4 linked regions of the Notamacropus eugenii genome follow. The protein of the gene in region 1 purifies or fractionates together with the protein of each later gene. This does not show direct contact. Links are inferred from orthologs where the notes say so. Each region holds a gene or a part of one and is shown in the gene's direction. Other genes may lie near its edges. The genes, in order: PLK1, ANKRD28, PPP6R1 and ANKRD52.

What was found.
Region 2: the proteins of PLK1 (region 1) and ANKRD28 purify together in Homo sapiens (affinity purification with mass spectrometry; 6 studies listed by BioGRID and IntAct, with this or other methods). This does not show direct contact. The link is inferred for Notamacropus eugenii from reciprocal best matches to the Homo sapiens genes PLK1 and ANKRD28.
Region 3: the proteins of PLK1 (region 1) and PPP6R1 purify together in Homo sapiens (affinity purification with mass spectrometry; 3 studies listed by BioGRID and IntAct, with this or other methods). This does not show direct contact. The link is inferred for Notamacropus eugenii from reciprocal best matches to the Homo sapiens genes PLK1 and PPP6R1.
Region 4: the proteins of PLK1 (region 1) and ANKRD52 purify together in Homo sapiens (affinity purification with mass spectrometry; 3 studies listed by BioGRID and IntAct, with this or other methods). This does not show direct contact. The link is inferred for Notamacropus eugenii from reciprocal best matches to the Homo sapiens genes PLK1 and ANKRD52.

What each region holds. Positions count from the first base shown.
Region 1 is NC_092872.1:81,487,039-81,494,423, reverse strand, and holds the start of PLK1 (serine/threonine-protein kinase PLK1), read left to right. Parts: upstream 1-4,382; 5' UTR 4,383-4,676; coding exon 4,677-5,108; intron 5,109-5,567; coding exon 5,568-5,736; intron 5,737-6,590; coding exon 6,591-6,735; intron 6,736-7,385. UniProt on the Homo sapiens protein: Serine/threonine-protein kinase that performs several important functions throughout M phase of the cell cycle, including the regulation of centrosome maturation and spindle assembly, the removal of cohesins from chromosome arms, the inactivation of anaphase-promoting complex/cyclosome (APC/C) inhibitors, and the regulation of mitotic exit and cytokinesis.
Region 2 is NC_092874.1:38,157,218-38,164,979, forward strand, and holds the start of ANKRD28 (serine/threonine-protein phosphatase 6 regulatory ankyrin repeat subunit A), read left to right. Parts: upstream 1-4,751; 5' UTR 4,752-7,076; coding exon 7,077-7,193; intron 7,194-7,762. UniProt on the Homo sapiens protein: Regulatory subunit of protein phosphatase 6 (PP6) that may be involved in the recognition of phosphoprotein substrates. Involved in the PP6-mediated dephosphorylation of NFKBIE opposing its degradation in response to TNF-alpha.
Region 3 is NC_092876.1:17,896,445-17,904,405, reverse strand, and holds the start of PPP6R1 (serine/threonine-protein phosphatase 6 regulatory subunit 1), read left to right. Parts: upstream 1-4,950; 5' UTR 4,951-5,092; coding exon 5,093-5,269; intron 5,270-5,289; exon of another isoform or gene 5,290-5,686; intron 5,687-5,700; exon of another isoform or gene 5,701-5,834; coding exon 5,835-6,067; intron 6,068-6,553; coding exon 6,554-6,740; intron 6,741-7,040; coding exon 7,041-7,178; intron 7,179-7,961. Other genes in the region: HSPBP1 (hsp70-binding protein 1), read left to right, coding at 1,873-2,028, 2,327-2,423, 2,513-2,624, 3,337-3,411. UniProt on the Homo sapiens protein: Regulatory subunit of protein phosphatase 6 (PP6). May function as a scaffolding PP6 subunit. Involved in the PP6-mediated dephosphorylation of NFKBIE opposing its degradation in response to TNF-alpha.
Region 4 is NC_092874.1:231,520,046-231,527,912, reverse strand, and holds the start of ANKRD52 (serine/threonine-protein phosphatase 6 regulatory ankyrin repeat subunit C), read left to right. Parts: upstream 1-4,866; 5' UTR 4,867-5,115; coding exon 5,116-5,142; intron 5,143-5,459; coding exon 5,460-5,543; intron 5,544-5,721; coding exon 5,722-5,800; intron 5,801-5,900; coding exon 5,901-5,971; intron 5,972-6,888; coding exon 6,889-7,089; intron 7,090-7,372; coding exon 7,373-7,460; intron 7,461-7,607; coding exon 7,608-7,750; intron 7,751-7,867. UniProt on the Homo sapiens protein: Putative regulatory subunit of protein phosphatase 6 (PP6) that may be involved in the recognition of phosphoprotein substrates.

The sequences.
Region 1 (7,385 bases):
TTAGAGGAATTAACTTCAGTAAGGTAAGACAATTTTATAGTGTATATGATGCTGATTGCACAATAAAAATTTAAATAGAATATTTGAATATGATTAATATTTAAAAGGCAGGAGGGGGTTTGTTAAGAGATTAAGTAATAGGGGAGGGTTCCCAGCCTGGGTGGAACTTTGTATGCAGTTACCGACAGTACATATAGAAAAATCCAAAGGGGGTAAAGGGGAGCATGTACGTATGATAATGAAATTATAATAATCCTCTCTACACCATAACTTCACTCTAGGTCAGTTCTTTACTATTACTGTGAAGGTGCTATCTTAGGGAGGGCCCCTTCTATGGTTTGGTGGTCAAACATCCTGCTCTACATCCTGGCAGTGCTGCTGATTGGCTAACTATTGTGGTCCTGTCTGGTCAAGATGGATGATGTGGTTGAGGTTGAGTGCATAGACATACCTGTTTCTGTGGAAAATATGTGAATTGCATCTGGGGGTAGAGGCTAGCTAAAGGATTAAGTCTGGTGGCAATGGCTGGCTAGGGGAAATGGCTAGCTAGAGGCAGTGGCTAAGTTGAGTCTGGATGCAGTGGCTAGCTAGAGGCAGCAGGTCTGCCGATGATTGAGTTTGAGGACCTATGGTATGATTAAGGCCAGATTGTATGGTCAAATCAAGCCATACCTGCTGTTTAGTGGGGCCCATAAGGAAGTTAGAATATTGGGGCTGATTTAGCAGCTCTATTAGGATTCCATCAATATTGGGAAAGAAGAAATGAAAAAAAAACATTAAAAAATGAAAATAGTATGCTTCGATCTGCATTCAGACTCCATCAGTTCTTTCTCTGGTTGTGGATAGAATTTTCCACCATGAGTCTTTTGGAATTTTCTTGGATCATTGTATTGCTGAGAAGAGCCAAGTCATTCATAGTTGATCATCATACAATGTTACCATTACCGTGTACAATGTTGCCCTGGTTTTGTTCATTTCACTTTCCATCAGTTCCTGTAAGTCCTTCCAAGTTTTTTCAAATTCATCTGCTCCTCATTTCTTATAGCACAATAGTATTCAATTGCATTCATATACCATACATTCCTCAATTGATGGTTATCCCTTAAATTTCCAAATTTTTTGCCATCACAAAAAGAGCTGGTATAAATATTTTTGTATAGGTAGGTCCTTTTCCTTTTTCTTTGATCTCTTTGGGATACAGATCTAATGGTGATACAGCTGAATCAAAGGGTATGCACAGTTTGATACCTTTGGGCTGGATCTGTTCACCACTCCACCAACAGTGCATTAGTGTCCCAATTTTCCCACATCCACTCCAACATATATCATTTTCCCTTTCTGTCATATTAGCCAATTTGATAGATGTGATGTGGTACCTCAGAGTTATTTTAATTTTCATTTCTCTAATCAGTAGTGATTTAGGGCATTTTTTTCTTCATCTGAAAACTGCCTGTTTATATTCTTTGACCATTTAACAACTGAGGAATGCCTTGTATTCTTAAAAATTTGACTCATTTCTCCATGTTTGAGAAATGATGGTGCCTTAACTTCTGTGATTAGATCCTAGAGTTGGTCTCCAACTCTCCTATAGTCAGTCAATAAAAACTTATTAAGTGCCTTACCCTGTGCCAACTCTGTGCTAAGTGCTAGACTATATTGAGAGGATACAAGGTGTGTACAAGTAAGCAAGGCAAATATGAAGTATGTCTGTAGAAAACAATATAAAGTAAATTATTTGAGTGGAAGTAAAAACAAAAAAATGATAAACATCCTCTGCTTTCAAGAAACTTATATTATATATAATAATATATTAATAATTAATATATTACATATTATAAATTAGATGCAGGATTGTACTGGTAAATGTTTAGCTCTCTGGAAATGTTTGTAGCTGTAAGGTAAGACTCACCTTGTAGTCTGTAAATGTTTCCAGCTTTCTGGAAAAATGTAAGCATGACACATTTTTTAAAAATTCAAATAATATTCTACTTTCCCCCCAATTACATGTAAAAACAATTTTTTAGCATTCTATATTTTTTAAGCTTTGAGTTCCTAATTCTATCTTTCCCTCTCTCCTTCTTGAGACGGTAAACAATCTAATATAGGTTATACATGTACAATCATGTGAAACATATTTCCATATTAGTCATTTTGTGGAAGAAAACTTGAACCTGAAAAAGAAATGAAAGAAGCAAAGAAAGTGAAAAAATAGTGCACTTTGGTCTGTATTAGATGCCATCTGTTCTTTTTCTCAAAGGGAAAGCATTTTTCATCATGAATATTTTGGGATTCCAAGACACATTTTTCAGTCTAATTTGTATTATTATTTTCTTCATTTTTTTAAAGTCTAGAAATCAACAAAACAATAAATTTCTAATTCATTGCACTTGCTGATTTCCAAGATGTAAATGCTCACACGGAAAATTTTAAATGACGCTCTCTCTAGCAAATATGAGTTTGTTCCAATACCTCTCCGATTATATACTTGAAAACTTAAGGAGGGAGAAATCAGTAACAGCCAGGGGGAATCAGGAAAGCTTCTGGTAGGAGGCAGCATCTGAACAGAGCCAAATCAAGGATTATAAAAGTCACAGCTCAAGAAGTAGTGCATTCTGAGTGTGTGGGATGAACTTATTTGATTGTTCATACAAAGGCACTGAAGACTGAAAATGGGACCCTCGAGTCTGGGGAAGAGCAACTAGACCAATTTGACTGGACCCTAAGTACAATAAGTTTGCTACAGGGGTAGTGAAGGATTTTTCTATATTCCACACCCAATCCTAGAGTTATTAGGGAGCCCCTGAAGGTTCTTCAACAAAAAGGCATCATTTTAAGAAGGGGTTAGTGAAAGTACTGGAGTCCTTGTCTTACAAAGTGGAGTTTAAGGAACTGAGGTATATTTAGAATGGCAAAGAAATGACTGGGGTGGGATGGGAGAGAAAAGCGAGTGGAAAGAAGACCGGAGAAATGGCTGCCTACAAGTAGTTGTAGGACCGTTGTATCATGGACCGTTGTATCCAAAAGGAATTAGCTTGTTCTGCTTGTCTCCAGAGGGCAGAACTAAACCAGTGAGTGTAAGTTATAGAGAGGCAGATATACTCCCCATCTTAAGAAAAGCTTACTAGCAAATAGAGTTATGCAAAAGTAAAACTGTTTCGCCTTTGGAGGAGGATATAAATATATATGTATATGCATGTATGTATTTGTTGAGGTTTGGGAACCATGAGGTTTGGGGAACTCAGGACCCCAAAATACGGACAAGCCAGTTCCTGCCGAATGAATTCGACTCAAGACTTCTTCTAGCAAAAGTAAAGCAAAGTTTATTAAAGGTTTGCCATGTTGGATTGACTCTTAAGGAGCCTTGCCATTTGCGATGCTTGTATTAACAAGTGGGCCAAATAGAAAGTTGGCTAGACAGTCAAAGCTAGATTGAATCTGAGCCCCTTCATGGAGGTGAGATGGAATTTATATAGAGAAAGTCTGCGGGAAAGATCTAGAGGTGGTGTAGTAGTCTGGGAGGAGAGTCTAAGGAGGATCTGGAAGAAACTAGGGTAACTAGTGATGTAATGAAGGGTGGGAAACAGCTGGAGGCAATTGGGAGGTATCAGACTATGGAGAGCTTGAGTGGGAAGTAATGGAAGATGGGCTAGGCTAGGTTAAGGGTCATAGATTTGGGTATAAAGTCCAGATTAAGTGGGAAGATTCAAGCAGAGTTCAAGGAGCTTCTCAGAGTCTGTACCCCACCATATTTTATCCTTCAGTCTTGTCTGACTGTGACCCATTTAGGGTTGTCATGTTAAAGATACTGCCATTTCCTTCAGCTCATTTTAGAGATGAGGAAACTGAGGCAAACAGGGTTAAGTGACTTGCCCAGAGTCACACACACACACGCATTACATACACATATACACATACATGCATACGTATGAATGCACACATATACACACGCAAATATACACAGATACATAAGCGCCCACTCGGTAACACTAAAAAGGAGATTCTTGTTCAGCTACAGACAGCTCCTGGATGGTTCGTGGTCCATCATCAATTGATTTCCTCCTCCCTGGGGGTCCTTCCCAGGCCAGTCACTGCCACAGATCGCTTCTCCCTCCCTCCTTCTTCCTCCGTGGTGCAGCACGCTCAGCACGCTCAATCTCCAGGCTTCCCAGGACAACCAAACTTGACAGCGGCCCCCCACTCGCTGTCAATAAAGTTTGTTGAAAGCTCGGCTTGCCTTCGCAGGTGGGGCAGGGGCTAGTGGGTGGTGGAGGCGAGGGCTCTCCCATCGTGCCCCGCGGTAGGCGGGTTTGGATTTTAAATCGCTGCAGCCAATCGGCGGCGCGGACCGCCCCGTAACGTTCCCGGCGCTGGGTTTGAATTCTGGGCTACTTGCACTGACCCTGCAGCCGCGCCGCTTGGGGCTGGCAGAGTGCAGCCGAGCTGTCCTAGCTTAGCCCCGCCGAGCTGGCCTAGCGGAGCTGGCCTGGCCTAGCCGAGCCTAGCCGAGCCGAGCCGAGCCGAGCTGGCCTAGCGGAGCTGGCCTAGCCCAGCCGAGCCGAGCCGCAGCCGCTGCGCCGCACCCGGGCAGGTCCAGCCGGGCGAGAAGCAGCGGGAGGAGGACGGAGCGGCTGCGGGCGGAGCTGGGAGAGGCGGCTGGGGACGGCGGCGGCGGCATCATGAGCGCGGCGCCCGCGAAGCTACCCCTGCGGCAGCCCGGCGTGGGCTCCTCGGAGCCTCGGGGCAAGCCCGCTGTCGGCGGGGCCGGAGCGGGCGGCGGGACCGGGACCGCGACCGCCCCTCCTGCGGCCGCCCCGGACATCCCCGAGGTGCTGGTGGACCCTCGCAGCCGGCGGAGCTACCTGCGGGGCCGTTTCCTGGGCAAGGGCGGCTTCGCCAAGTGCTTCGAGCTCTCGGACCTGCAGAGCAAGGAGGTGTTTGCGGGCAAGATCGTGCCCAAGTCGCTGCTGCTGAAGCCGCACCAGAAGGAGAAGATGTCCATGGAGATCAATATCCACAAGAGCCTGGTCCACCAGCACGTCGTCGGTTTCCACGGCTTCTTCGAGGACAGCGACTTCGTCTTCGTGGTGCTGGAGCTGTGCCGGAGGCGGGTGAGCGCCCCGGAGGTGGGGGGGACGGGCGAGGAGACGTTAGTGCCCCGGGGTGCTATCAGAGGGGTGGAGGGCCTGCAGGAAGGACTGGGGGTGGGGCGTGCTTCCTCTCCGATCTCCCCACCAAGCGGTCACCATAGAACCGGCGTGGGCACTAGCGAGAGCCCGGGAGGTTGGGGGCCGGGCCCAGCTAAACCCAGAAACTGGCTCCAAGTTCCATCGTGCCCTTGAGTTCTCAAGTTCGAGGCCTCAGTTCATGTCTTGAACCCTCGGGGCTCGGGGAGAGAGTGGATCCCCTGTGAGTTCTTTCATAAGCAGCATTAGGGTGGAGTAGCTCTGTTGCCCCCCCTTCCCCCCCCCCCCCGCAAGGTTTCCACTCACACGACCCCCTCCCCACCCCGATAACAGAGTCTGAGACCCCTTGACTTAGCGCGTGTCTCTTCTCGCTGCCTCCCACAGTCCTTGCTGGAGCTGCATAAAAGAAGGAAAGCAGTGACTGAGCCTGAGGCCAGGTATTACCTTCGCCAGATTATCCTAGGCTGTCAGTATCTCCACGAAAATAAAGTTATTCATAGAGACCTCAAGTTGGGTAATCTCTTCCTCAATGATGACATGGAGGTGAAGATAGGTAAGACTGGGGAACCCCTAACCAAGCTGGGATTTTGTACAGGAAGTGTAACTTCCTAAATGGACCTAATTCCCCGTTGAATAATCTGTGTGGCTGTCCAGGAAAGACCCTTAAGCAAAAGTCCCAGGGATTAGTCTAAAGTCTGTGTGACTGGAGCCTTTTCCACAAGCCAAATTTTATAAACTTCTTTTTGGCTTTGCTGTTAAATCATTCCTCTTGGCAAAAGTAAGCAGTTATGCTTAAATGCACAACCTTATGCAAGAGAGCTACAGATTGAAGAAGATTTAGTCCTAAAATGCTTGCAGGAAAGTGTATGCCCAGAGTCATATTTTCCTTGCACAGCTCCATGTTTTTTAGAAAAGGATAGGGATGGAGATGGGGGAGGTGAGGGCAGCCACAGGTTGGTAGCTAAAAGAATACTGTAGAAAAAAATCAACAACCCATGCTTTTCTTTGTTTCTTCTGTACAACAGAACTGGGCAACCAGGGAACATAGACATGGTCCAGGGTTTACTGTGGAAAACAAAAGGAATTCTGGATCTAATTTCAAAAAAATTTGGAGACAGGCACCTATTATACAAAGGAGGATATAACTCCTTCCCCCCAATCCCCCCAGTGAGATGAGGCAGGGGTAGTAATGTTCTCTCTGGGTCTTTAGATTACCCTAGTCTAGGGAGATGGGATAGAAAAATTATATTTTATATTGTAGGCTACAATAGGGCCAGCTTTGTTGAAAAGGCCCCAGGCTGTTAGGTGCCAGAAGTGGGCATCAGTAACAACCTACATGGGACTATGGGTCAAACCAATCTGGATTCCTGGGAAGAAGAATGATTTGCTTCCTAACCCTTATTACAGGTGACTTTGGATTAGCAACCAGAGTAGAATATGATGGTGAACGTAAGAGGACCCTCTGCGGAACACCGAACTACATAGCCCCTGAGGTGCTAAGTAAGAAGGGCCACAGCTTTGAGGTGGATATCTGGTCCATTGGGTGTATCATGTGAGTAGTAGCTTAACTGGATTCTTTATCAGGAACCCAAGAGACAGGCAAACCTCCATTTATGAATAGGCAAAACCTGGCCTTCCTTTTTTAGCTCTCTGTTATCCTAAGAACTATTTAGTCTCAGGGACGAGAAGAATAGAAGGAAAGATGATCCAGGGAAGATGAGATTCCAGTGACAGTGAGATATTCAAGAACACTGGTCTTTGGGGACAGTGAGGAGATGGGCAGGACAGGTGGAAGGGTTAACTATTGCTTTTAAGTGATTGTGGTTATCTGAAACAAGATCCTTAGAGAGCAGGGGGAATGGAGCCTTGTTTCCCTTGATGCTGGCATCCCACTGAGGGCCTCTTCCATCCAGTACCAGTTTTCTTCCCTTTGCCTAGGCTTGGCCTCAGGAGCTGAAGGATATTTTCCTAGGTCGTTCACCTTTTGCACTTGCTTGCAAAAAATTGGCTTCACAAGTACAAGATGATGGAGGCATGGTTCCAAAGTTTGTTTGAAAAAACTCTCTCAGTATCTGAGTACGGTACAAGTTCAACATTAGTCATAAGTATAATGTGGCAGCCAAAACTAATGTGATCTTGGGCTACATTTAGAGGCAACACTTCCAGTCAATCTGTAAGGAAGTAGGAGGTGATTATCTTACA
Region 2 (7,762 bases), on another chromosome or scaffold:
GTGAGTGAGAGTGTGTGTGTGTGTGTGTGTGTGTGTGTGTGTGTGTGTGTGTGTGTGTTCTTCTGGAATAATGGTTAGTCACTGTGTTGGTTAAAATTGATTATCTTTACAATATTATTGTTGCTGTAGAAATTTATTTTCTGACTGCTCACTTCACACTGCATCAATTATACAAGTCTTTCCAGGTTTCTCCAAAACTACCTTCATTATTTCCTTTAGCACAGTAGTATTCCATCATATTCATATACCATAACTTGTTCAGCTATTCCCTAATTGATGGATGTCCCCAGGGTTTCCAGTTCTTTGTCACTGCAAAAGGAGCTGCTATAAATAATTTTGCACCCATGGGCCCTTTTTCTTTTTCTTTGCTATCTGGGTGTAGACCTAGTAGTGGTATTTCTGGGTCGAAGGATATTTACAGTATAATTCCAAATTATTTTCCAGAGTGTCTGGACCACGTCACAGCTTTACGAACAGTGCTTTAATGTACCTGTTTTCCCACAGCCTTTCCAGCATTTGCCATTTTCATTTTTTGTCAGCTTTGTCAATCTGATAGATCAGATGTAGAACCTCAGTTTTAATTTGCATTTCTCTAATTCTTAGTGATTATCATTGTTCAGTTGTTTCAGTCTTGTCCAACTCTTTATGACCCCATTTGGGGTTTTGTTGGCAAAGATGCTGGAGTAGTTTGCCATTTCGTTGTCCAGATCATTTTACACGTGACAAAAATGAAGCAAACAGGGTTAAGTGAATTGCCCAAGGTCACATAGTAAGTGTCTGAGGCAGAATTTGAACTCAGGTCTTCCTGACTCCAGGCCCTTCACTCTATCCATTGCACCACCTAGCTGCCCCAAAAGAACTTCCTTTGTCTTATCAGTATTGTTTAGTCGTTTGAGACTCTTTGTGTTCCCATATGGGGTTTTCTTGGCAAAGATAATTGAGTAGTTTGCTATTTTCTTGTCTGGCTCATTTTACACGTGAGGAAACTGAGATCAACAGAGTCGCATGGCTAGCTCGCAAGTGTCTGAGGACACATTTGAACTCAGGTCCTCCTGATTCCAGGCCTGATGCCCTATACTTTGCCTCCTAGATTCCCCTTTTAGTGGTTTAGATTTTTTTTTTTATGTCAGTTTGATTCTTGCTCTTATAAATTTGAGTCAGTTCCTTATATATCTTGGAAATGAGATGTTTATCAGAGAAAATTATTAGCAAGAATTCCCCCTCCACACACACACACACACACACACACACACACACACACACATTTACCTGCTTCTCTTCTAATTTTAGCTGCATAGGTTTTGTTTATGCAAGAACTTGAACATTTTATCTTCTTTGACCCATTTCTATTTTTTTTGGTCATGAACTCTTCCTCTCTTTATAAAGTTGCAGGTAATTTTTCATATCACATCATCCTTTATGTCTCAGTCATGAATTTGGAGCTCATCTTGTAGATGATGTGAGATGTTCTTCCATACCTAGTTTTTTCCAGTCTATTTTACATTTTTCCCCCATAATTTTTGTCATAGTGAATTTTTGCCCCAAAACTGGGATCTTTGTATTTATCAGATACTAGGCTACACTACATTTGCACTGCATATTGTAGGCGATCTATTCCACTGATTAACCTATTTTTTTAACCAGTTGTTTGGATGTTTATTACTTTATAGTATAGATTGATATCTGGTTCTTCTAGGTCCTTTTCCTTCAGATTTTTTCCCCCATTAATTTCCTTGAGATTTTTTACCTTTTGTTCCTTCAAATTAATTTTTTATTGTTTTTCTAGATCTATAAAGTAATCCTTTGGTAGTTTGGTATGGCGTTGAAAAAGTAAATTTAGGTAGTATTGTCATTTTTATTATATTGACTCAGCTTAAAATGAGCAATTAATATTTCAGTTTAGATTTAGATTTATTTGCTATTTAGATTTGTATTTGTATAAAGAATATTTTGTATTTGTGTTCATATAGTACCTGAGTACTATATCACTAACTTTTGATTAACGGGGATGACCTATTAAAAGGATATGCTGTTGTGCCAAGCAGTTTCTGTTTAGTGTGGGATATAATAGAGAACCACTGGAGTTTGGGAGGAGAATACATTGGGGTGGGGAGAGAGACTTGAGGCAGACAGACTAACTAGAAAGCTTTTGCAGTAGTCCAGGCAAAGGGTAATGAATCATGCATTAGGTTGTTGCTTGTGCTAGTGGAGAGGAGACAGATAATGAGAGATGTTCAAGAAGAAATGACAATATTGGGTATTCGATTAGATATGTGGGGGCAATGGGAGTATCACCGAGGTTGGTGGCCATGAGGATGGTGGTAGTCTTCAAGTGTAGTAGAGAAGCTAAGAAGCAATGAGTTCTGTTTTAGACACGTTGATTTTGAGATACCTAGGGGCCTTAAGGTTGAAGGTGTCTAAAAGTCAGTTGGTGATAGGAGACTAGAGCTTAGGAGAAAGCAAGGGATGTCTGTAGATCTTGGAATCATCTGCATAAAGATGATAATTGAGCCCAAGGGAGCTGATTGTGATCATTAAGTAAGGTAATATTGAGGGATAAGAGAATAAGGTCCACCAGAATAGGGTCATGCTTAGTGGTCATGACCTGGATGAAGACTGACAAAGCAGTTGTGGCTAGACAAGAGGAGAATCAAAAGAAAGAAATGTGGGGTGGAGGAGTAGAAAAAGCAGTGTCATTACAACCTTGGGAGAAGAGAGTATTCTTAACAGTGTCAGGTCCTGCAGAGAAGTCAAAAAGGATGAAAACTGAGAAAAAAGCCATTCACTTTGGCAGTTAGATCTTCAATAAGTTTGGAGATGGAAGTTTCAGTTTAATAACGAGGCTGGAAACCAGAATGCAGAAGGTTTTAGAAGAGACACGAGAGGCAAGAAGCATAGATCATTTTCTCATGGAGTTTAGACCCCCCCCCCAGAAGGGAGGAAAAATAATGACTCCTGTCAAGTATGATAGAATCAGTGGAGGTTTTAATGATTAGGGAGACATAGTAATAATAGCTAGCAGTTATATGTGCTAAGCACTTTACAAATATCTCATTTGATCATCACGGCAACTCTGAGAAGTAGGTCCCCATTTTACAGTTGAAGAAACTGAAGTACATTTGAGGTTAACTGAGATTAAATGACTTAAGATGTCGGAACGATGTGAGATGAGGAAGAGGACATAAGGGGGAGCTTATTGGTGAAGTTGAACTCAGAAGGAGGGGTGGGATACGTAAGGTGAAGTGGAAGACTTGATGAGAGGCAATGTTTGGAACAGTTTCTCTGGAGAGTGGGATATTGAACCAATTGTAGAATAATTGTCTCGATGTAGTAAGGGTCCAGTTGAGATTGTGTAACAAATGGTGGTGGATCTAGTCAGCAACATTGGTGATTTTCCTGAGTATGAAGTGGCAGATGGTGGGAGTTTGGCTTGATCAGGAGTAGGAAAAGAGAAGAGGATAGTTCACCAAGGGTTAATGTAGAAAAAAGAAGGGAGTGTAGCCAGTGGAGGGATTAGAGCCTAGGAAAGAACTGAGGGATAAAGAAAATGGTAGTCATGGGGAGGCTGAAGAAGAATGTTGGGGTTGTAAGGCATGGGATGGGGAAAGATGGGTATGATGAGATGAAGACATTTCTGAGTTAATATGGACATGAACCACTTATTTTGTGATAGCCTTATCAAGGTCACAGTTGACATGAAGGAGTAAGTTGGTCTTGGGAATTGAGCACATGATTTTAAGGTGCTTGAGGAAGCATTAACCAATATGTATTGAAGTCTTCAGTTTGAGGGCTGGAGTTGTGGAGAGAAAGATTATGTAAGATTATGAAAGATTATTTAGTCAGGCAACTCATTAGGGAAGAAGGGAGATTGTGAGGGGTAGGGTTTGGAAGGATCCAGATTGGGGGATAAATTTGGAAAGCTTGTACCTTCAAGAAGAGGTTGCTGAATGATGATAGTAGAGGGAGAGTCTGAAAGTGGCAATGAAAAGCCAGAAGTCTTCCAGTTCCCTCTCAGAGCAGGTTTTGAGGTATGAATTGTCGTACCTTGGGGTACAACCAGGTGGGAGCATGTGTGTTCCAGTCGCCTAGTAAGAGAGTAGAAGGGGTGGTGGAGAAAGACTCACTGAGGAAGGAGGGAGCATATCCTGGGAGCAAATTAAATAACACTCTTGATTGAGGTACACATTTGGAGGGGTAGTAAATAGAGCCTGGACCTGGACTCAGGAAGACCTGAGTTTAAAACCTGGCCTCAGATAACTTTACTTATGTGACCGTGGGCAAGTTACTTAACCTGTTTGTCTCAATTTCCCCAAGTGTAGAGTGGTGATAATACTATCTCTCAGGGTTGTTTTGAGGATCAAACGAGATGATATTAATAAAAATGTTTGGCACAGTGCCTGGGACATAGATGGTACTGTATAAATGCTTACCTAACTCTTCCTTATTCCCATATTTCATCACTTGAAAGTAAGGTAGTACAGATTCTTAAGACTTTGCCCACATTATGTGAATGTCTTCATATTGAAATTTTATGTGATACTTTGAATTGGAAGATATCTTAAATAGATAACCTAATTTCTGTCTTTCATTTCTGTAATAAGCGGAGAGGCAGCATGGTGTAAGTCCTGCTTCCTAAGCTGCTATATAGAAGTATCTGACCGACACTGGTAGAGGGATAGTGCCTGTTTGCTAATATGCAGGAATCATGGATTAATATCAGTAAGAAACTTGTCTCATATGTGTATATATATAATATATATACATATATACATATGTATGTCAGTGAATAGAAGAATTTCCAGAAATTTTTTTGTCATATCTTGTTTTGTACATAGTTGTTTGCATATTGTCTCCCCCATTAGACTGTGAGCTTCTTGAGAACGGGGTCTATTTTTTTTTTGCCCTTTTTTTATCTACCCCCAGCGCTTTGCATAGTGCTTGGCACATAGTAGGTATTTAATAAATGCTAGGGGAAGTACAGCTACTTTTAGATAGATGTGAGTCAAAATGATAAATTTACAAGAATCACAGAAAACTCATTCATTTAAGGTACTGATGAATGTGGTTAGCTGAAGTGTATTATCCCTATTTTTTTTAATGAAGATACTGAGATGTAAGGAGGTTATACACTTACTAGTACTATCTAGCTTGTAGGAAAAAATGATAGTTTTGGTTTGAAATTTCCTGAAGAATATTTGTTGCCTTGTAATTATCAAAATTGTCTTTCTAAATAACAAAAGTTTAGCCTAAGGATGTGTCTGTCTAGGCAAATGTCTGTATTTGGTTGCAGATTTTCTCTTATCTCTAAATCCCATCCCAGTACACTGATACCAGTTTTGCCAGGACGTCTATTTTAACAATTCTGGTTAGCATGAAAGGGTTAAAGTGGCTTCTATACAGTAACATATGAAAACAGTTAAGCTGTTTGGAACTGTTTACTTGCATAAATGGATGTTAGTCAGCAGAGGCAGTATACCAGGATACCAGATTTCTTTGTGGCTTTTAGTGGAAAATGTTAAAAGCACGCTCATTTTTCAGCTAAAGAATTTTTTAGTTTGATCTGAATTAGTCACAGAACTGGCATGGGCATTCTAATTGTGAAGACTTTACAAATGTGGCCCTTTTTGGGGGGTGGCTAGAGGAAGTTACATCCTGAGCAGTGGCTCAGTTCTGTGGTAAGTGTAACATGTGAGCATTACTAGGCATTTTATCCTGCGGGTCTGCAGTCTGCTCTTCAGACTAGGCTCAGTCGGAATGCTGCTGTGGGGCTGATTTTTCAGGTCCTGTGGTTGATTTTTCGTCTTTCTTTTTAATGATCAGTTCATTCAAGGGGTTTGTGGCTTTTTCAAAATCATCTACTGAACACAGAAACATCTGAAATCTACTAAAAAGGCTAGCAGTGGAAGGAAGCTGGATTGGCACCGACCCAGATGTTTGAATAAAAGAGTAGTCGGAAAGAAGATGCACGGAGGATTTTTTTTCCCTTGAAGGAGGACTGTATAATGGAAGCTGGATTCATGCAGAGATCAAAGGAAAACACTCAAGTGATAAACTACTTTGTAGAGGAAAAGGTCGAAGCAGTGATTTGAACAGTTATTTGAGCTTCGTAGCTTCTTTAAACCGTTAAGATTTTATTTTGCTAATACCCTTCTTGTTGTGGGTTATTTGCTAGAACAGCCACAGCCAACTGCTGCTTGATGGAGGAGGAATGAGGGCTCTGCATTGCCTGTGCTATTGATGAAAATACAGCTCTCTGCATGCTTGCCGTTTGGGAAATCTCGATTGAACAGGCCATATTCTAACACCAAGAATTTTCTTATTGTCCCTCGTGACCTGACTCATTGCCTGTAAATGTATTGCAGCTTTGCTGTTGATGCAGAAGAGTGGGTTTATTTTTTAAACGTAGAAAGAATTGTCAACCTCTGAGCTCCATGTTCTGAATTTGTGCTGAGCACAGATGAATTTTTTCTGGAGTATATCAGCATTAAGACTAGTGAAACTGAAGAAATGAAGGTTTGACTCTGAGATGGAGATAGAATAGTGAAATTTTAAAATTTGTTTTGATCAAAGAAAGCCAGCTATACGTGACCAAATTGACCTTGCCCGAATTGAGGATAACTGGGATAGACTCTGTCACTGCAGTTGCTTCTCCTTTCAGTCAATACAAAGTGGTGTCATGTCACCCCAAACAATGACCTCTCTGTGCTAACAAAATTCTGCTGTGAAGACAAGGGATACTAAAAAGGCATAATTTTTTTAAAGGATAATTTTTCAAATGAATTTAGATTATACCTGAGATTAATTTACAAAGGTTTTGTTTTGGGTTTTACTAATAATTTATGTAGTAAAGAACTAGTGACTTTGAACAGAATAATAGGACTTGGCAATTTTAGAGATGTTTCAAAACTGTAGGGGGTCAGTCACCACTGGAAAAACTGAAGTTTAAAATTAACTTTTAAATGCCAGCTGTAGTACACAGAATGTTCGCAAGTGTGTACAGAAGAGAAAGACATACTCCCTGTGCTATATCAACTGTAACTTTTGCTATATAGTTTGAAATTTAGTGTTTTAAACGAATGAGTCGGGTGTGTATTGTTGTTTTGGAGGAGATAGAAGATGAATCTCCAACATTTGTTTCCAAATTGCCTCAGGAAAATAAATTCCTTCCATCTCCAGCTTCTGGAAATGCATTGGTAAGATGTGATAGTTTCTTAAGTATTTTTGTATTCTGGTGTAATATGAGTGATTTTTTTTTTTTTTTGCTTTTTAATAATAGACTTTTTAGTCATTTATGTTTTCAGTTTGCAGTAATATCTACCATGTCAAAATGTAAAGTGAATATGTTTCTGATATTCTTGGAAGATGAAAAACCTTTGAGATAGGACAAAGGCTGTATACTTTCAACTTTAAAAAGGAAAATTAACCTTATGATTTATAATATGATTTCAGTCTGACTGTAGATTGCCTATAGCCTAGTGAATATAAATATATTTTGTCTTTCACTTCCTTTCTTTCCGTGTCTAATCTGTAGTTTGTGAAATTGAGGTATCAAGTAAGAACTGGGAGTTCTCCCTGTTTTAGGAGAGACTGACTGCTACTAGTAAAACAGAAGGCCTGGCATTTACTGTAATAGCTTGTATATTGTTTACATGTACAACTTTTATCTAGTACTGTGTTATCTTTAGCCTTGTTTTAAAAGCTGTTGTCAACTCCTTTAGAACATGATATCCTATCATAGATACTTATGCTGTTGATTAGGAAA
Region 3 (7,961 bases), on another chromosome or scaffold:
TGGGGCCAAGGCTTTGGGAGTGTAGGCAGGACCGAAAAGTCCTAATTCTCCTGGTGCCCTCATGGTGCCTTCTGTGAAGAGGACTCCAAGCCCCTCTGCCTCCTTTCCATGGGATGTTGTTATCTGTAACTTTGGACTTCTTGTCCATGACCTCATGTCTCCTGCCTTTTGTGGCTAAACTCCCCCAAAAGGCTGTCACCTCCTCCTACTCTTCTGACTTGTGACCTCATCATTCCACCCAGACTGCTTTCTCCAGAGTGACCAAAGATCTCTTAGTGGCCAAATCCAGTGACCTTTTCTCTTTCCTCGTCCTTCTTGCTGCAGCCTGATCACTCTCTTCCAGTTCTCTTCCTTCCTCTCTGACCACTCCTTCCTTCTCTGCCTCCTTTGCTGGATCCTCCACCAGATCAGACCCTCAGAGGTGTCCCTCCAAATCTGTCCTGGCTCCTCTTCTCCCCTGTCCTCCTTAATCAGCTGCCATGGATTTAATGACCATCTTTATCCTGACGATTCTCAGATCTCCCTTTCTCTGCCCATCTTGCATCTCCAATGGCCTTTCAGACATCTTCAACTGAATGTGCAGTTAGATATCTTAAACTCAATGTAGAATTTTCCTGTATAACTGTAAGGGGACCCCAGACCTCTATGTAAATCGATTTTTATGTCATGCAAATTTGCATGGAGGCAGGAAGGGGACTGTGTGCCCTTGCATTGAGGGGGCAGGGGACAGGTGGAGCATGTGACGGGCGGGGCCTGGCGAGAACCAAGAGGAAGAACCCAGGGGCATGGAGGGGGCATGGACATGGTCTAGACAAGAGAGGTTGGAGAGATAGATATGCAGGACCTGAGCGGTACTGATGGCAGACACATGGACTGGACACATGGCCGGGTAGGCAGAGCAGGGCAAAAGTTTCCTCTCTTGGTACTGGGGTGGGGGATTTTCCTGCCCATTCTTCTGCTTTCACTTGGAGGGTTTTTTTTGTGGGGGTGGAATGGGAGGCTGTGGGGTGGACAGAAAACACAGCATGTACAGCAAAGTAAACAGAGGGGTTTTTTGGGAATGTAGATTTTTTTTTTTTCAGAATTCTTCACATAAAGTCAAATTTGGATAACATGAATTTACATAAAAGTGACAGCTGTTTGTATGTCCAAAACAGGACTTATTACCTTTCCCTGTAAACCCCTCCCCCCATTTCCTATGACTATCGAGGGCACCCCCATCCTCCCAACCTGGGGGTCATCCTGGACTCCTCACTCCCTCCCCCTCCTCCCAGATTCAGTATGGTGGCAAAGCCTGTCAATTTCCCCTCTGCCACATCTCCCCCACATGCCTGTTTTCTCCTCTGACAACCACTCCTTGGTGCAGCCCCTCACCCCTGGGCTGTTGCTCTGGGCGGGGCTGCCTGTCTCTGGTCTCTCCCCACTCCCATTCATCCTCCATTCAGCCACATAAAGGATTTTCTTAAAGCTTGGGTCTGACCATGTTATCTCAGCCCCTACTCATTAACCTCCTGCAGGACCAAATATGACCTGCTTGGCTTGGCCCCCTCCCTGCTATCTGGTCTTCCATCTTCCTCCCACACACATCCTCCCAGTCCTATCTCTGCTGTGGGCCTTCCCTCTCCCTTCTCTACTTCCACCGCTGACCTTGCTGGCTTCCCCCAGTCCTGTGCCCATTCTCTTCACATTTTTCCTACTTAGATTGTTTGCCCTCAGATTGTGAACACTTACAGGGCAGGGCCCAGTGCCTGGCACATAGTAGGTGGTTACCCTATGCTTCTCATAATTAATGCTTATTATGGCAATCCCCTTCTCTGGGAGCTGTCCTGGTATCTGAAGAACAAAGGCCTGACCCTTTGTTGCTGCCCCCAGGCCTGGTCCGGGAGCAGGAAGCTGGCCTGCTCCAGTTCCTTCGCCTAGATGGCTTTTCGGTGCTGATGCGGGCCATGCAGAAGGATGTGGTGAAGCTGAAGGTGAAGTCGGCCTTCCTCCTGCAGAACCTGCTGGTGGGCCATCCTGAGCACAAAGGTGGGGGGCGGCAAAGGGGGAGGCATGGGGGGACACAGGGAAGGCACCTTTGGAGCTGGGCACCAGCAGGCAGAGAGTGGGAGAGTGGGAGCCAAAGCAGGAAAATGCAGAACAGATTTTAGTGTTTCTGGGAAAGCTGTGGGAGGTGGGGCAGACTGACAGTTTGGAGCCCATCATGGAGGGAGGGTAGGCCTCAAAGGCTAGTCAGCAGTGGGTTAGGTTCTAGAAAGACCTGCCTCACACTCCTGGGCAGGCAGGGGGACATGTCTCTTTGACCCTGTCTTCTCTCCACCCTCAGGCACCCTGTGCTCCATGGGAATGGTTCAGCAGCTGGTGGCTCTGATCCGAACAGAGCACAGCCCCTTCCACGAGCATGTACTGGGGGCACTTTGCAGGTGAGAGGAATCTTAGGGGTGGTCAGGGTGGGAGGCTGGCATCTTGGGGCCAGCTGGGGCTGTGCTGACCTGGCCATCCCCCTCCACAGGCTGGTGACAGATTTCCCCCAAGGGATCCGGGAATGCCGGGAGCCTGAATTGGGGCTGGAGGAACTCCTTCGACATCGGTGTCAGCTGCTGCAGCAGCATGAGGAGTACCAGGTAAGGGGTGGGGACTGCTGCTTCTCCTTGGGCTCCTAGGAGCAGGCTAGGGGGCTGTGGGCAGGGGTTTAGGCCCAGGGTTAGGGAGGCAGAAGCCTATCCCTAAAAGAGCTCTCTCCTCATTGGGGGCATGAGGCCCATGTGTGCATCATTCCTCACTGCACCAGCCCTGGGCTCAGTGCCAGCCATTCAGCCGTAGGGGGGCCCCCAGCCCTGATGAGGAGTCCTCCTGTCACCTCACAAAGCCTTCCAGCTCTCCCATTCTGTGATGTTGGGAAGTTGTCCTCAAGTGGAGATGTGGAGACAGATGAGCAGAGACCCCAAGCTCTAGGAGAGTACCAGGAACCAGAGGGGCCAGGCACGGCCCTGGAAGGGCAGAGGGGAGGCCGGGGAAAACCCCAGAGCCTGGCACAGCCCAGATCAGGGGCAGCTAATAATGTGCATGAGCCTTTGGACTGAGGGAGTTCTAGAATGTCCCGAGGCCTCTCCCTACCCATCCCAGCCTGGCCCTGGTCAGGGGTAGCGAAGGGGCCCCGAAGGGACCAGCCCTTGTGGTCTTGCGGGTGTCCCTAGGTCAGCCTGGGCGAGAGCAGGATGGGGGGCAGGGGGGTAGGTGGAAGAGGCCGGGGCTGGCCCCCGGGTCTGAGGTGGGGTCCTAGGGAAGCGGCTCCCGGGTGGGGGGCTCAGCCCTGATCCTCCCGCTTCCTTCCAGGAGGAGCTGGAATTCTGTGAAAAGCTGCTGCAGGCGTGCTTCTCCTCCCCCACGGATGACAGCATGGACCGGTGAAGGCTGGGGAGGGACCCAGGGGCCCGCGCCCCGCAGCATGGAGCCCCGCCCCGCCGGCGGCTCCTCTCCAGCAGCCTGCCGCCCACCCGAGGCGGGGAGGAGGCAGCCTGGGCGCCGGGCCCGGGGCGCCGCGAAGCCCCCTGCTCTCCCTCCCCTCCGCCCCCTCCCGTGCGTGCCCGCCCCGCTCCTGGCTCTGCCCTGGCAATAAAGCTGTTTCTTCCTCCCCCTCGAGTGCCGCGTCTGTGTGCGGGGGCGGGGGGGCGGGGAGGGGGGGGGCAGCATTGTGGATGGGGGGGCGGTGTAGAGGGGAATTGACACACAGCCCCGGCGGGGGCGGAGAGACGAACGCGTACGCATGCGTACCACTTCCCGAGGGGGTGGAGGTGCGGGGCGGGAGTGAGGGAGCAGGACAGGGGCGTAGAGCGCCTGCGCAGCAGGAGAGTGCCGCTTTATAAGCCCCCCGAGGCGGTGGGGCAGCGGCTGCCTTTCCTGCACGCAAGCGCAGTCGCGTGTTTTGGTGAAGCCAGGCCGAGAGGGGGTAGACTGCCTGCTGGGCGCGCGTGCGCACGGAGGCCATGGGCTGCGAGGGGTGGGCTTGCACTGCATTGCGCTGAGCTCTCCGGTCCTCGCCACGGGGGATTGTGGGAGACTGCGGGGTGGAGGGGAGAGGGCTGGCTTGCTGCGGCAGGCAGGCGGGCGGGTCGGAGGGCAGACGGACGCTGCGGGGACCGTGAGTGGACAGACGGCACGAAGCCTCGAAGAAAGAGGACAAAGATTCGACCCGCCCGCCTGCCTGCGGCCTTCCAGGGCCGCCGAAGCAGGACCAGGGAGGGGAGGGGCATCCCCCTTGGGCTCTCTTTTATGTGTCGCGGGGCTCCGGCAGCTCCGCAGCCATTTCTCCCCCTCCCCCTGCGCCTGCGCGTGAGCCTGTTCCCGGGCCCGCGGAGCTTTTCTAGAGCGGCTGCGTGAGCTCCCCTCCCCCTCCTAGCTTCAGGGCGCCTGCGCACCAGCTCCCGCCCCCTTCCCGCCCTCTCTGCGGCTTCTCTGTCGCGCCTGCGCGCCAGCCATTTTGCTGCCGTCTCTCAGTTCTGCGCTCGAGCTTTCCCTGCAGAGGCTGCAGACGCAGACACAGGGGCGGCCGAGGCGGACGCAAGAGCGAGAGCAGAGCAGCAGCCGCAGCCCCGGCCCGGCCCTGAAGTCCCGCACCCGCGGGAGGAGAAAGAGGAGCGGGAGGGCGGGGGGGGGGAGAAACCGCCGCGGGTCTTGCTACCCCCCTACCGCGCGGCCCCTCCTCCCCCCACCGCGCAGAGGTTCAGGGCGCCTGCGCGGGCCGGGAGCGCGCGCCCACTTCCCCGCCCCGCCCCCTCCCCACGGCGCGCGCCCCGATGTGCCCGAGGCCGGAGCTGCCGCTGCTCGCGCGCCCAGGTCAGTGACCCTGCCCCGCCCCTTGCGCGGAGGGGGAGACTGAGGCCCCGCAGGGGTCTTCCGGGAGAGGGCGGGAGCGGAGGAGAAACGAACCCGGGGGAGGAGGGGAAGGGGCGGGGCTCGAGACCCCCGGGCGCAGACCGGGCGTGTCCCCCTGCTGGGGGGCGGGGCAGGGTGTCCGGGTGCCAGGTGACTGCGGCCCCGCCCTCCGGGGAACCTGCCCGGGCCGAACCCTGGACGGGAGGGCTCCTGGGGGATGCTGGGAAATCCCCCCCACGGCCTCCTCGGCTTGTTCCTCCCCGGTTGCCATTGGAAACGCCCCTCCTTTCCCTGCTTTCCCTCTCCGCGTCCCTGGGCTGCACAGCCGGGGACCCCCGCTCCATTTCTGGGCTCCTGGGAGGGGCACATCCAGCGCGCAGGCCGGCACCCTGGGGTGAGGAGCTCGGGGATGACCGCCGAGCCCCCCTGGGGCCAGCGCAGCACGCCGGCCTCGGGGCAGGGGGATGGCCCTTTCCCCTGCCCGAAGCCTCCCTGTTGGGTCGGTGGTCTAGGATTGGAGGCTCGGACAGCTCGGTCAGGATCGGGATTTGAACCCAGGGCGTTTCTCGTTGCGAGCGTGGACCGTTCTCGGGCCTTGCTCGTAGTACCTGAGCAGCGGGCACTGCTGCCCAGCTGGGGGCAGGGGGGCCTGCTGGCCTGTGCCCTGGCACGGCCTCCCTCCGCTCGGAGCTCTCGTGGCTCTTGCCCTGCGAGCCCCCCCCACTGGGGCCCATGGCTCTCAAGGGTGGCCATCCAGCTCCCTCTTGGCCTCCTTTAGAAGGCTGCTCCCCAGGAGACCCTGTGTTAGGGGGTAAGTCGGAGGGAGCCCCTTGTTCAGAACACCCGGGGAGAGCTGGGCTCCATGTGGGGGCTACCTTCTCAGCTTGCAGCCGGATTTTCCTGGGCTTCCCCTCCTGCACCCCACCTGCTCCAGGCTCTTCTCTGACCACCCTCTGCAGGGCGCCATGTTTTGGAAGTTTGATCTGCACACCAGCTCGCACATCGATTCGCTGCTGCAGAGGGATGACCTGGCTCTGGCCGAGCTTCTGGATGAGGAGGATGTGCTGCAGGAGTGTAAGGTGCTGCACCCCAAGCTGCTGGACTTCCTGCTGCGGCCAGCCCATCTGCAGGCCCTCGTGGACTGGGTCACCCGGGAGCCCCCAGCTGCCGGTGACGAGCGGCTTCGCTACAAGTGAGGCCGTCTCTCCTCATCTCCCTCTGGTTCTTGTGTCCTGTAGAAGGACAAGGGCAGGGCCCAGGTCCGAGTGCTGGTTTTGTGTCAGCTGCTCAGGCCACGCTGTTGGATCACTCTCCCTCATCTCACACCCAGTTATTTTTCCTGCTGGTTATCCTGTTCCCGGCCTGGGCCATCCTGCCCCAGGCCCTCTCTCTGCAGGTGTAATCCTGAAGCATGCAGTGCTGTGTACAAGGAACCCCTGTGAGGGAAGGGGGGGTGTCACTAATTATTCTCCTTGTTTTGGTCTCCTGGATTTGTTCCCTCTGGCACCGCCCCCCCCCCCCCCCCCAGCATAAGAACCTTTGATTGAATTTAAGCTGGAGTGCTTTTTTGTTTTACAAATTGGGAAGTGGAGGTCCAGAGAGGTGGCCAGGTTGCGGGATGGTACCTGTAGATTTTTGTTTTTCTCTAGGCAGAGCCTGACAGCTGCCTCTTCTCCAGGTACCCCAGTGTGTCCTGCGAAATCCTGACCTCGGATGTCCCTCAGATCAACGATGCTCTTGGGGAGGATGAGGCTCTTCTGGGCCGCCTCTATGCTTTCCTACAGAACAGAGCCCCCCTGAACCCCCTGCTGGCCAGTTTCTTTAGCAAGGTCATGGGGATCTTGATCAACCGAAAGACGGACCAGGTAGGTCTCTGGGGGCCTGGGGAGCTCCCTCTGACTCAGACCTTGATTAAAGAAGTGCCTGCTTGTTCTGGTTTGGGGAGACATGGAGGAAGTAGACAGCCAGGGTGTGCCCAAGTGATTCAGTGCCTGCCCCTTAGGGGGCCTTAGAGGAGGTGGGAAGGATCTCTGGAGGAGAAGCTGCCAGGGTGGGGGCCGATGGCCTTGATTGAAGAGTCCTTGGAGGGGGAGGGGCCCCACCCTGCAAAAGGCCTATGCTGTGATGGTGGAAGGGGTTAGCCAACTGGTTTCTTCTCCTCTCAGATCGTGGCCTTTCTGCGCAAAAAGGCTGACTTCGTTCCCTTGTTACTCCATCACATCGGGACATCGGCCATCATGGACCTGCTGCTGAGGCTGCTGACGTGTGTGGAGCAGCCCCTGCTGAGGCAGGAGGTCTTCAATGTGAGCCTTCCCCTTCCCTCCTTCTCCCCTTCCCTCCCCCATCTTCTTCCTCCCCTCCCCCTCCTTCCTTCTTCCCTTCCTCCTCTCCTCTGTTCTTCTCTTGCTTTCTCTTTTCTTTTCCTCTCTACTCCCCATCTTTTCTTTTCTCCTTTTCTTTCCTCCCTCCTCCTTTCTCCTCTTTTCCTTTCCCTTCTACTTTCATCTTCCTCTTTTCTCCCTTCCCCTTTTTCTTCCCTCTAGCAGTCAGGATTCCTCCTTTCCCCTGGCTGCCCTTGAGCGCCCCCTGGTGGAGCCCCACCTCTCTGAAGCAGTAGATGGTTTATGGTCCCTTTAGGGGCCCTGTTTTTTTCTCTGAGTCAGGGTCACATCCCTCATCTTGACATTTGGAGTCCCTTCCAGCTTGGGACTGCTGATATTTTGGCATTTCCTTACCTTTCCTCTTGTTGGCTCTGCTTTGACCAGCCTCTATTCCAGCCGCAGCAGGGTGAGGGGGATACCCTTCCTATCTTAGGGTCCTGGGTTGGGGGGGTGGCCAGGAGAGGAAGCCACCTCCCTTCTGTGGAGCCCCTTGAACCTCCGGTCTCAGCTCTGGCTGTAGGACAGCATCCCCTCATGTGCTTAAGGGTCAGTGTTCTTGTATTTCTTGAGGTTTTTCCTTTTAGCTTCTTAAGTTCTCCTGCAGCCCCTCTTCAAATCACTGGCTTGTGGAACTGGGAGCCCACTCAGCTCCCCCCCCCCCCCATCTTTTTCCATGTGAAACATCTGCCAATTCTTTTCCATCCT
Region 4 (7,867 bases), on another chromosome or scaffold:
AGGGAAGTATAATGAGTTCAGTTTGGAATATATTGAGTTTAAAATGTCTACAGGACATCCAAAAAGCAATTGGAGATGTGAGACAGGAGGTCAGAGGTTAGAGTTGGATAAGTAGATCTGAGAATAATCTGCACTGAAACCATGGAAGATGATGAGATCAAGTGAAATAGTATAGAGGGGAAAGAGAAGAAAAACCAGGACAGAGCAGTGATTAATGGGTGTTGTTCATCCTTTGTTCTTGAAGAGGACCATGACATCAGGAAGACGATGCCATGACTTGAAGGTGAATTGGATTTAAGTGAGGGAGGGCTGTGCAAGGTCACCAGTCTCACTTTCTTTTCTGGAGCTATCTGGATCCAGTGGCAAGATTTAGATCAGGACCACTGGAGATGGCCCCTTTCATGGAAATGACCTGGATGAAGATCGAGGAGACAGAGAAGGAGTGATTAGACAAGTATAAATAGAACTAGGAGAGAGAAAAGTCATGTTGTTGACTAGAGAAAAGTCAACCTAGTGAAAAGAGTATCAAGGAAGGTGACTGACAGTGTCAAAGGTCAAGAAGTAGGAGAATTGAGAGACCATTAGATTTCACAATTAAGAGATCATCAATAACTTTGGAGAAAACTGTTTCCATTGAATGGTGAGGTCAGAAGCCAGACTCTAAAGAACTGAAAAGAGAGTGAAAGGAAAGAAAGTTACAGAGACAGAAGGCAGGTGGAGATGGGGGGAGAAGAAGTAGCTTTTAGTGAATGGACTTCATTTTTTTTTCCAAAATATAAGCAAAGGTTTTCAGTTGAGAGCGTTGGAGAGGAGGAGCTATAGAAGGTTCAAGGAGGGATGAAAAGGTTTGAAAAAACTGCTGTGATTCATGAGATAGTGAATCAATTGGGGATATGTAAAAGGATTGACTTGCTGCATTGAAGGCCCACAGTCCATGCCCTCTTGTCTGGCTAGGTTCCTGCCCCTCCTGATCAGGCATAAAGGGGTTGGGGCACAATCTCTAGTCATGAAACAGAACAAAATTAACTGGGATATGGGATTGAACCCATATCCTCATTTGCGTTGTACTCTGATGTAACTACCACAGATTTCCTTAGATCCTACCTCCCCGTAGATCTGCCAGGTCAATTTAACTTACTATCCTCCCAAAAAATGATATTTGCTAATTATTGCCTCTTGTGCTTTCACTCCTAAACTTCCTGTCCTTTCTCTACTAATTCACTTTTACCACTTCGTCTTGATTCAAAACTCCTCTTCTCCAAGAAGCATTCTCTGATTAATTTTACTCCAATTTGATTTCCTCAGTCTTATATCATCATTCAATGCTTTCTTTTAAGGTTTATGTTATTTTAACTGAATTTTATGTTTCACTTTGAAGGAATTCTCTATTGCTTATGTGTTTATCTCCTCAAAAAGATTATAAATTATAGAACTGATTTCTTTTGCATCTTTCCCCCACAACAAATGAAGTGCTCTGCACACAGGAGAATCTCAAAAACATTTATTAAATCAAAAAATGAAAAACTAAATGAAAACCAAGGCACAGAAAAAGCAAAACACTTGAGATCTATTTCTCTAACTTTGACATAGAACCCAGTCTCTAGAAACAAATCTTTTCTAGCTTCTCTGAGCCTAAAGTTTCAAACTTGAGTGTTCTGACTCCCATATACTAGCCCTCCCTCCCTAGGTTCTTTTTATTGGGCTCAGGAAAAAAAAAAAGCAGTCTTTACTATTTTATGTTCCTTTTTCTTTCACTGGGGAATCTCCTTCCTGTGCTGTTTGATGATAAAAATAACTCCTTCTCTTCATCCAGCTGCCCATGGAACCCAGTAAGTGCCTTCTATTCACCTTCACCCCATCCCAGACCCAAACATGTGACCTGTGTTCATCCTCTGACTAGTGTTCCTCATATTTCCCAGGGGCTATTTTGGGCCATATCTTTGGGCCAGTCCTCTAGTGATATAACTCTCCTCTGGAAATTGTCCTTTCTCCCCTAACCCTACTCCATACACTCCTCTTCTTGTCTCAAACTCTTCATTACATATCACTAGATAAATTGTTAAGAACTGAAAAGTATCTTAGAGATTATCTAGTCAAAATATCTCATGTTGCAAATCAAATATCTCAGAGATTCCAAGTCATGTGCTCAGGATAACATAGCGAGGAATTTATGGAGATGAGATTGTGTCTCTTGAATCCACTAGAGTTCAAGGTACTTTTTACCACACCATGCTGTTTTCCATATCATCATAAGCATGTCATCAGTTTGTTTACACATGTTTATATGGTAGGTGCTATACAAAACAATTTACAGTTCATACAAAACATCCTTGTGGTGCTGAGCATCTTGGATGTCAAACTGAGAAGATTCCTGTTCATAAGATGATTATAACCTAATCAAAGAGTTAGGATGTACACATATCAAAAAGATACACAAATGAATACAATATAAAGGTCCCGTAGTATATATGGCCTTTGTATACCTTGGGGGGGGGGGGAGGGTTAGTGCAACTCCTACCTTCACTGAAGAGTTTGGTCCTCAGAGCACTTGCCAGGTATATATTTCCCTCAGGGTTTTAAAGGTACCTCTGAAGAGGAAGTAGGTATCTTCCTAATAATACTAGGGGCTTGAGCCATGTTCCAGTGTATCCTTGATATCATTTAATAAATTAACAACAATTAACTTTTACAAAGGAATACTTAGTAAGAAGACATAGGAAGAACAGAAATGCAAAACATTTTCCCCAACAACTAGGACCCAGCCCTGTAGTATATTTGTTCTCTCATGGAGTCATTAACTTCTGTGTGGCCCATTCTAATTTTCAGGTACTTTGTGGCTTAGGTAAGTTTTGTATCTCTTGTATCAAGTTGTTAATTCTCTTTCTAAGATGTTCTTCCATAGCTCTCATTTCTTTTCCAATTCTTTCCTCTAACACTTCCATTTATAAAATAATCTTGTGAGTCTTAAAAAGATACACATGAAAAAACAACCCCCTTGCCTCATTTCTTGTAGGAATTCTAGTTGAACTTGTGCCCAAGTTGTGTTTTACTTTAGGTTATACATGTAGATGTTTTGGGGCCATTCTCTTCTCAGTTTGTGTCTTAGGTGCTCCTATCACCATAAAAGCTCTTTGTGGTAAGAATCTATTTTTCTTTGCTCATTCTTCCTGAAATCTAGCCTTAATTCTGAATTTTAGACTGTGTTAAGGCCTTCATACAGGGCAAAGCCTAATTGGTTTCTTTGTTCTCTGAGTTGTGCAACCTCCTAATCTGAATTAGGGTCAGAGCAACACAACTGTGTACTTGGCCCTGGTTGGAGCTCCTGTAGAAAGCTGCAGAACTCAACTACTATAGGCAATCAAAAAAAAAAAATGCATATTCAGAGTGATAGAATTGCAGGCTCTCCTTTATCTTCAGACTGGTCTGGAGGTAGAATCTGAGATCCTATTGTACTGCCAGGGTCAGAACCACATAGCTGCTGTTTGCTTCTGTTCCTGCTCCTTCTCTACTACAGGACCTCAGCTCGCAACTGCTGGTCCTGGACCTGAGACTTAGGTGCACTGGATCTATGACCCAGCTCTGGAATATGAGGGACAGACCTTCCAGTTGGCATGTGTCCTTGCTCTTTGGACAGTATCAGACCTCTCTGCGATAGATCCAGGAGGTCTTCTCGCCCTAGTGGACAGTCACTAGCCCTTATTCAATCCCTGCATTCAGCTCTGCACTATGACCCTATTCCCAGTTTCAAAAGGTATTTCTGTTCTCCTTTACCAACCTTGGCTGGAAAAATTACTCAGTGATTTTTTTTCTTGAATTTCCCCATCAGGATTCAGTCTGGTACCTTTCCTATATGTTGGTGGAATTGTGTTTGTCCTTTGCTCTTAAAAAGGACCATGACATCAGGAAGATGATGACATGACTTTCAGTTGACTTTAATGGGAGGGAGGGAGGGCTGTGCGAGGTCACCAGCCTCACCTTCTTCTCCTGATCCATCTGGGTCCGGTGGCCTGACATTCATCAGGACGGCTGGAGATGGCCCAGGGGGCGGTGGAGACCCTGGAGACCCTGGCCCTTGTAGGCGAAGGCCTTGGAGAGGATGGCTGCTTTCTTGTACTCTGCCCTCTCGGCCAGCCCCTACACAGCTCAGCTGCGGAGTCCTGCGGGCGAGGACGTGTCTTGGTCCATCGGCTGTAACCCATTTCAGAAGTAAATGCAATGGGGCGGAGTTCTGTCCTCTGCGCAGAGACCCAGGCAGTAAGCAGAACACGTGTGGCCCAGCGGCTGGGGGTGTTTGTACTTCTCCGAAGGGGGCGCGTCCTGACTCTGGCCAGACTACACTCTCGTAAAGCGCTCTTCTCAGCTTGCCTCCTGGGGGACGCGGTTCGGTGGAAAAGCATTAACGCGGGGCCGGAGGCTGGAGCTGGAAGGCCAGCTCTGTTCCCAGCAGTGTGAGCGTGGGCCTCGGTTCTCCCTTCTGCAGAATGGGCTGGAGGGCTGCAAGGGAGATCCAGGCTCAAACTGACCTCAGGCCCTCTGTGACATGAAGAGACTGGACCACACGGCTTCTGGGTTCCCTTCCAGTTCGGGAATTATGCTGCGCCACGTGACTACTACACTTGTGCAGGGTTAAACCCTAGAAGGCTGAATTTCCAGAGCTCCCCACACTTCTCCATCCCTTTTCAGATCTGGGGAGCGCTGCGGGTCAGGCTTTGGCCAGCAGGGGGAGCTGCGCGCTTGGGTTTGACAGTCGGAGCTGGAGCTAGATCCGGCCACCGGGGGGTGCTGCAGGGTAGGTTGCGGCGCGCTGTGGAGCCAGACTTGGCCGCCAGGGGGCGGAGCGCCGCCAGGTCGGATCGCCACCGGTGCTACGGGACGGCGGTGGGGCCGGCAGGCCCTGGCGGGAGGTCCGGGGGGCCGGAGCTGCGGGGCCCGGTGTGGCCGCCAGGGGGTGCTGCCGGCTCCCGCTCGCCCGCCTCCCGGTAGGCGGGGCCCCGCTCTCCCAGCAGCCGCTACCGTCGCTGCTGCTGCCGCCGCCGCCGCCGCTGCCCCGTGTCCCCGGTGGAGCCACCGCCGCTGCCGCCGGGAGCTCGATGCGGACGGAGCCTGGGCCGGGCCATGGGGATCCTCAGCATCACGGACCAGGTTAGTGACGGCGCCGCCCGCCGCCCGCCGGGCGCTGCCGCCACGCGAGCTCGGGGATGTGCGGCCTAGGCCTAGCCCGCGCCCCGGCCTCCCGCGGCCCCGGGCCCCCGCGCCCCGGCCCCCCGGCCCCCCGGGCCGGTTCCGGTCCGCCCCGCCCCGCGCCGCCCCGCATCGCGCACACCCAGCCCGCCCGCAGGGCCGGCCGGCCCCGCCTCCGCGCCCGCCGCCCTTGCGGCGGTGACAGGGCACCCGGCGGGCCCCTCGCGGCGCTTCCCGGCCCGCCCCTGAGCCGCCCGCCCGCCGCTCTCTCCCCGCAGCCGCCCCTGGTCCAGGCCATCTTTAGCCGGGATGTGGAGGAAGTGCGCTCCCTCCTCTCGCAGAAGGAGAACATCAACGTGCTGGTGAGCGGGGGGCCGCCGGGCCCCCACCCCGCCCCCGCCCCGGGGGGAGGCGCCCAGCAGGGAGAAGGGGGGGCCGGAGCGGGGGTCCGACCTTCCCCCTGTGCCCGCCTGCGGGATGGAGGGCTGGGCACCGGGGTGTCAGGTCGGCGCGACCCAGCGCGGCCCTTCCCTTCAATAGGACCAAGAGAGAAGAACCCCTCTGCATGCTGCTGCCTATGTAGGAGATGTCCCCATCCTCCAACTGCTACTGCTGTCAGGTAAGAGAGGAGGCCAGGGCGCGGCGAGGTGGGGCTCTCTGATGCCTCCTCCTGGTCCCCAAGCCCAGCCTCCCCACATGCCTTCTTTACTTGTCCCCAGGTGCTAATGTCAATGCTAAGGACACACTGTGGCTGACCCCCCTACATCGCGCTGCTGCCTCTAGGAATGAGGTAGGCTCAGCTGGGCCCTTCTGCCTTCTAATGAGGTGGATGGTGAAGTCTTATTCCTCTGTCATCCTCCTCTAGAGTCTCATCTCCTGTACCATCTGGAGAGGAAAGTCAGATCTTGGCTCCTCCCTCCTGACCTCTGGGCAGGCTGTTTATGGGGGGCTGAGCTCTGCCAGCTGATTTGACGTCAGGGGCAGCTTAGCACTCTGCTGGCAGGCTGCAGGGGGCTCCAATGCCAGGCCTAAATGACTCATCTCTCCCTGAGGGGCCACCTTAGAGCCTGCTCCCCTTTTGAGCCCTGGGAAGAGCAGGAGAGGGCCCCTCCCAGGGCTACCCTGGTACTCTCCTGGCTTGAGCCATCATCCTAGAGGTCACAGCACAGTGCTCAGAAGGAGTTACTGAGGCTGATATATTAAGGGGTAGGGGGCTGGCTAGGTTTTGACCAGGGAATGGGGATGGAGGTCATCTGTTTTCTTAGCTTGTTATTGAGATTGATTTCCGTGGTTGTGGAAGGGTTGAAGGTGGGTGTGTACATGAAGGTGGGAGGCTTTATTTTTCCTGGAATTCCCATGGGGGTAGGGAGGATCAAGGAGTCTTTAGGATGTTTACTTTTGCTTGGGGAAAGGATGTAAGGGGTACTAAGATTACTAAGACTGGGAGAATGAAGTTAATTTGGCTTGAGGACGGGTCTGTGTTTACCCTGGAAAGATAGAGGTTCTATTCAGATGACTGTCAGTTGGTGTTAAGGTGGTTTGTATGTTTTCTTAGGGAAACCGGGAGTAAGATTGTGGGGAAGAAGGGATTCTGTATTTACTGGATGTTGAGGCTGTTCTCATTTCTAGAGTTAAGGCACCCATGCCAAATCATCCCCTCACCTCCTGTTCTTTGTTCTTCTTGTCCTGATAAATTGCCACTAACAGAAAGTACTGGGGCTGCTCCTAGCACATTCCGCAGATGTGAATGCCCGGGACAAGCTATGGCAGACACCACTGCATGTGGCTGCTGCCAACCGGGCCACCAAATGTGCTGAAGCCCTGGCCCCGCTGCTGAGCAGCCTTAATGTGGCCGATCGAAGCGGGCGCAGTGCCTTGCACCATGCCGTGCACAGTGGGCACCTGGAGGTATGGATTCCACTCCCTCACTGCCTGCTTATAACTTGTCTGGGGCATCCAGACACTGTGGTTATGGGGCTTGGTTTTCCATGCCCATCCCCTGGTCCTTTCCCTTTCCTAGTCTCTGCTTTCTCATTAGTCCCTGTCCATGGTCCTTTCAGCAATATATCAGTTTTCTCCTCAGTTTCCTGAGAAAGTGGAGAAGCTTTAGTATAAGATGGCTGGGGATAGGGAAGGGTGGAAAGGGACTTATGCCAGGCTCTAAATGGAAATGTCCCCTGTTCTCACACAGATGGTGAACCTGCTTCTGAACAAGGGGGCCAGCCTTAACGTCTGTGACAAAAAGGAGCGGCAGCCACTACACTGGGCAGCCTTTTTAGGTGAGGAAGAATCTTGGAGCAAAGAAAATGTTTGGCCTACATAGGCATAATTTAGAGTTTGAGAATTCTGGGGTAAAGGACCTGAAGTAGAGTTTATTCTCCATTCCCTTTAGCTTTGCCTTATCTCATTCCCCTCCCCTGCTTTAGGGCATTTGGAGGTCCTGAAGCTGTTGGTGGCCCGGGGTGCAGATCCTAGTTGCAAGGACCGGAAGGGCTATGGACTGCTCCACACAGCTGCTGCCAATGGCCAGATTGATGTGGTCAAGCACCTGCTACGGCTAGGGGCTGAGGTCAGGGGGTTGGGAGACTAAGGTTAGGGATTTAAGAACTGTAGAAGAGGTTATGTGGGAAGATAAGGTCAGCATAAGGAAGCTTAGGTTTGGTGGATCTATGGGCACTGGGGAGGT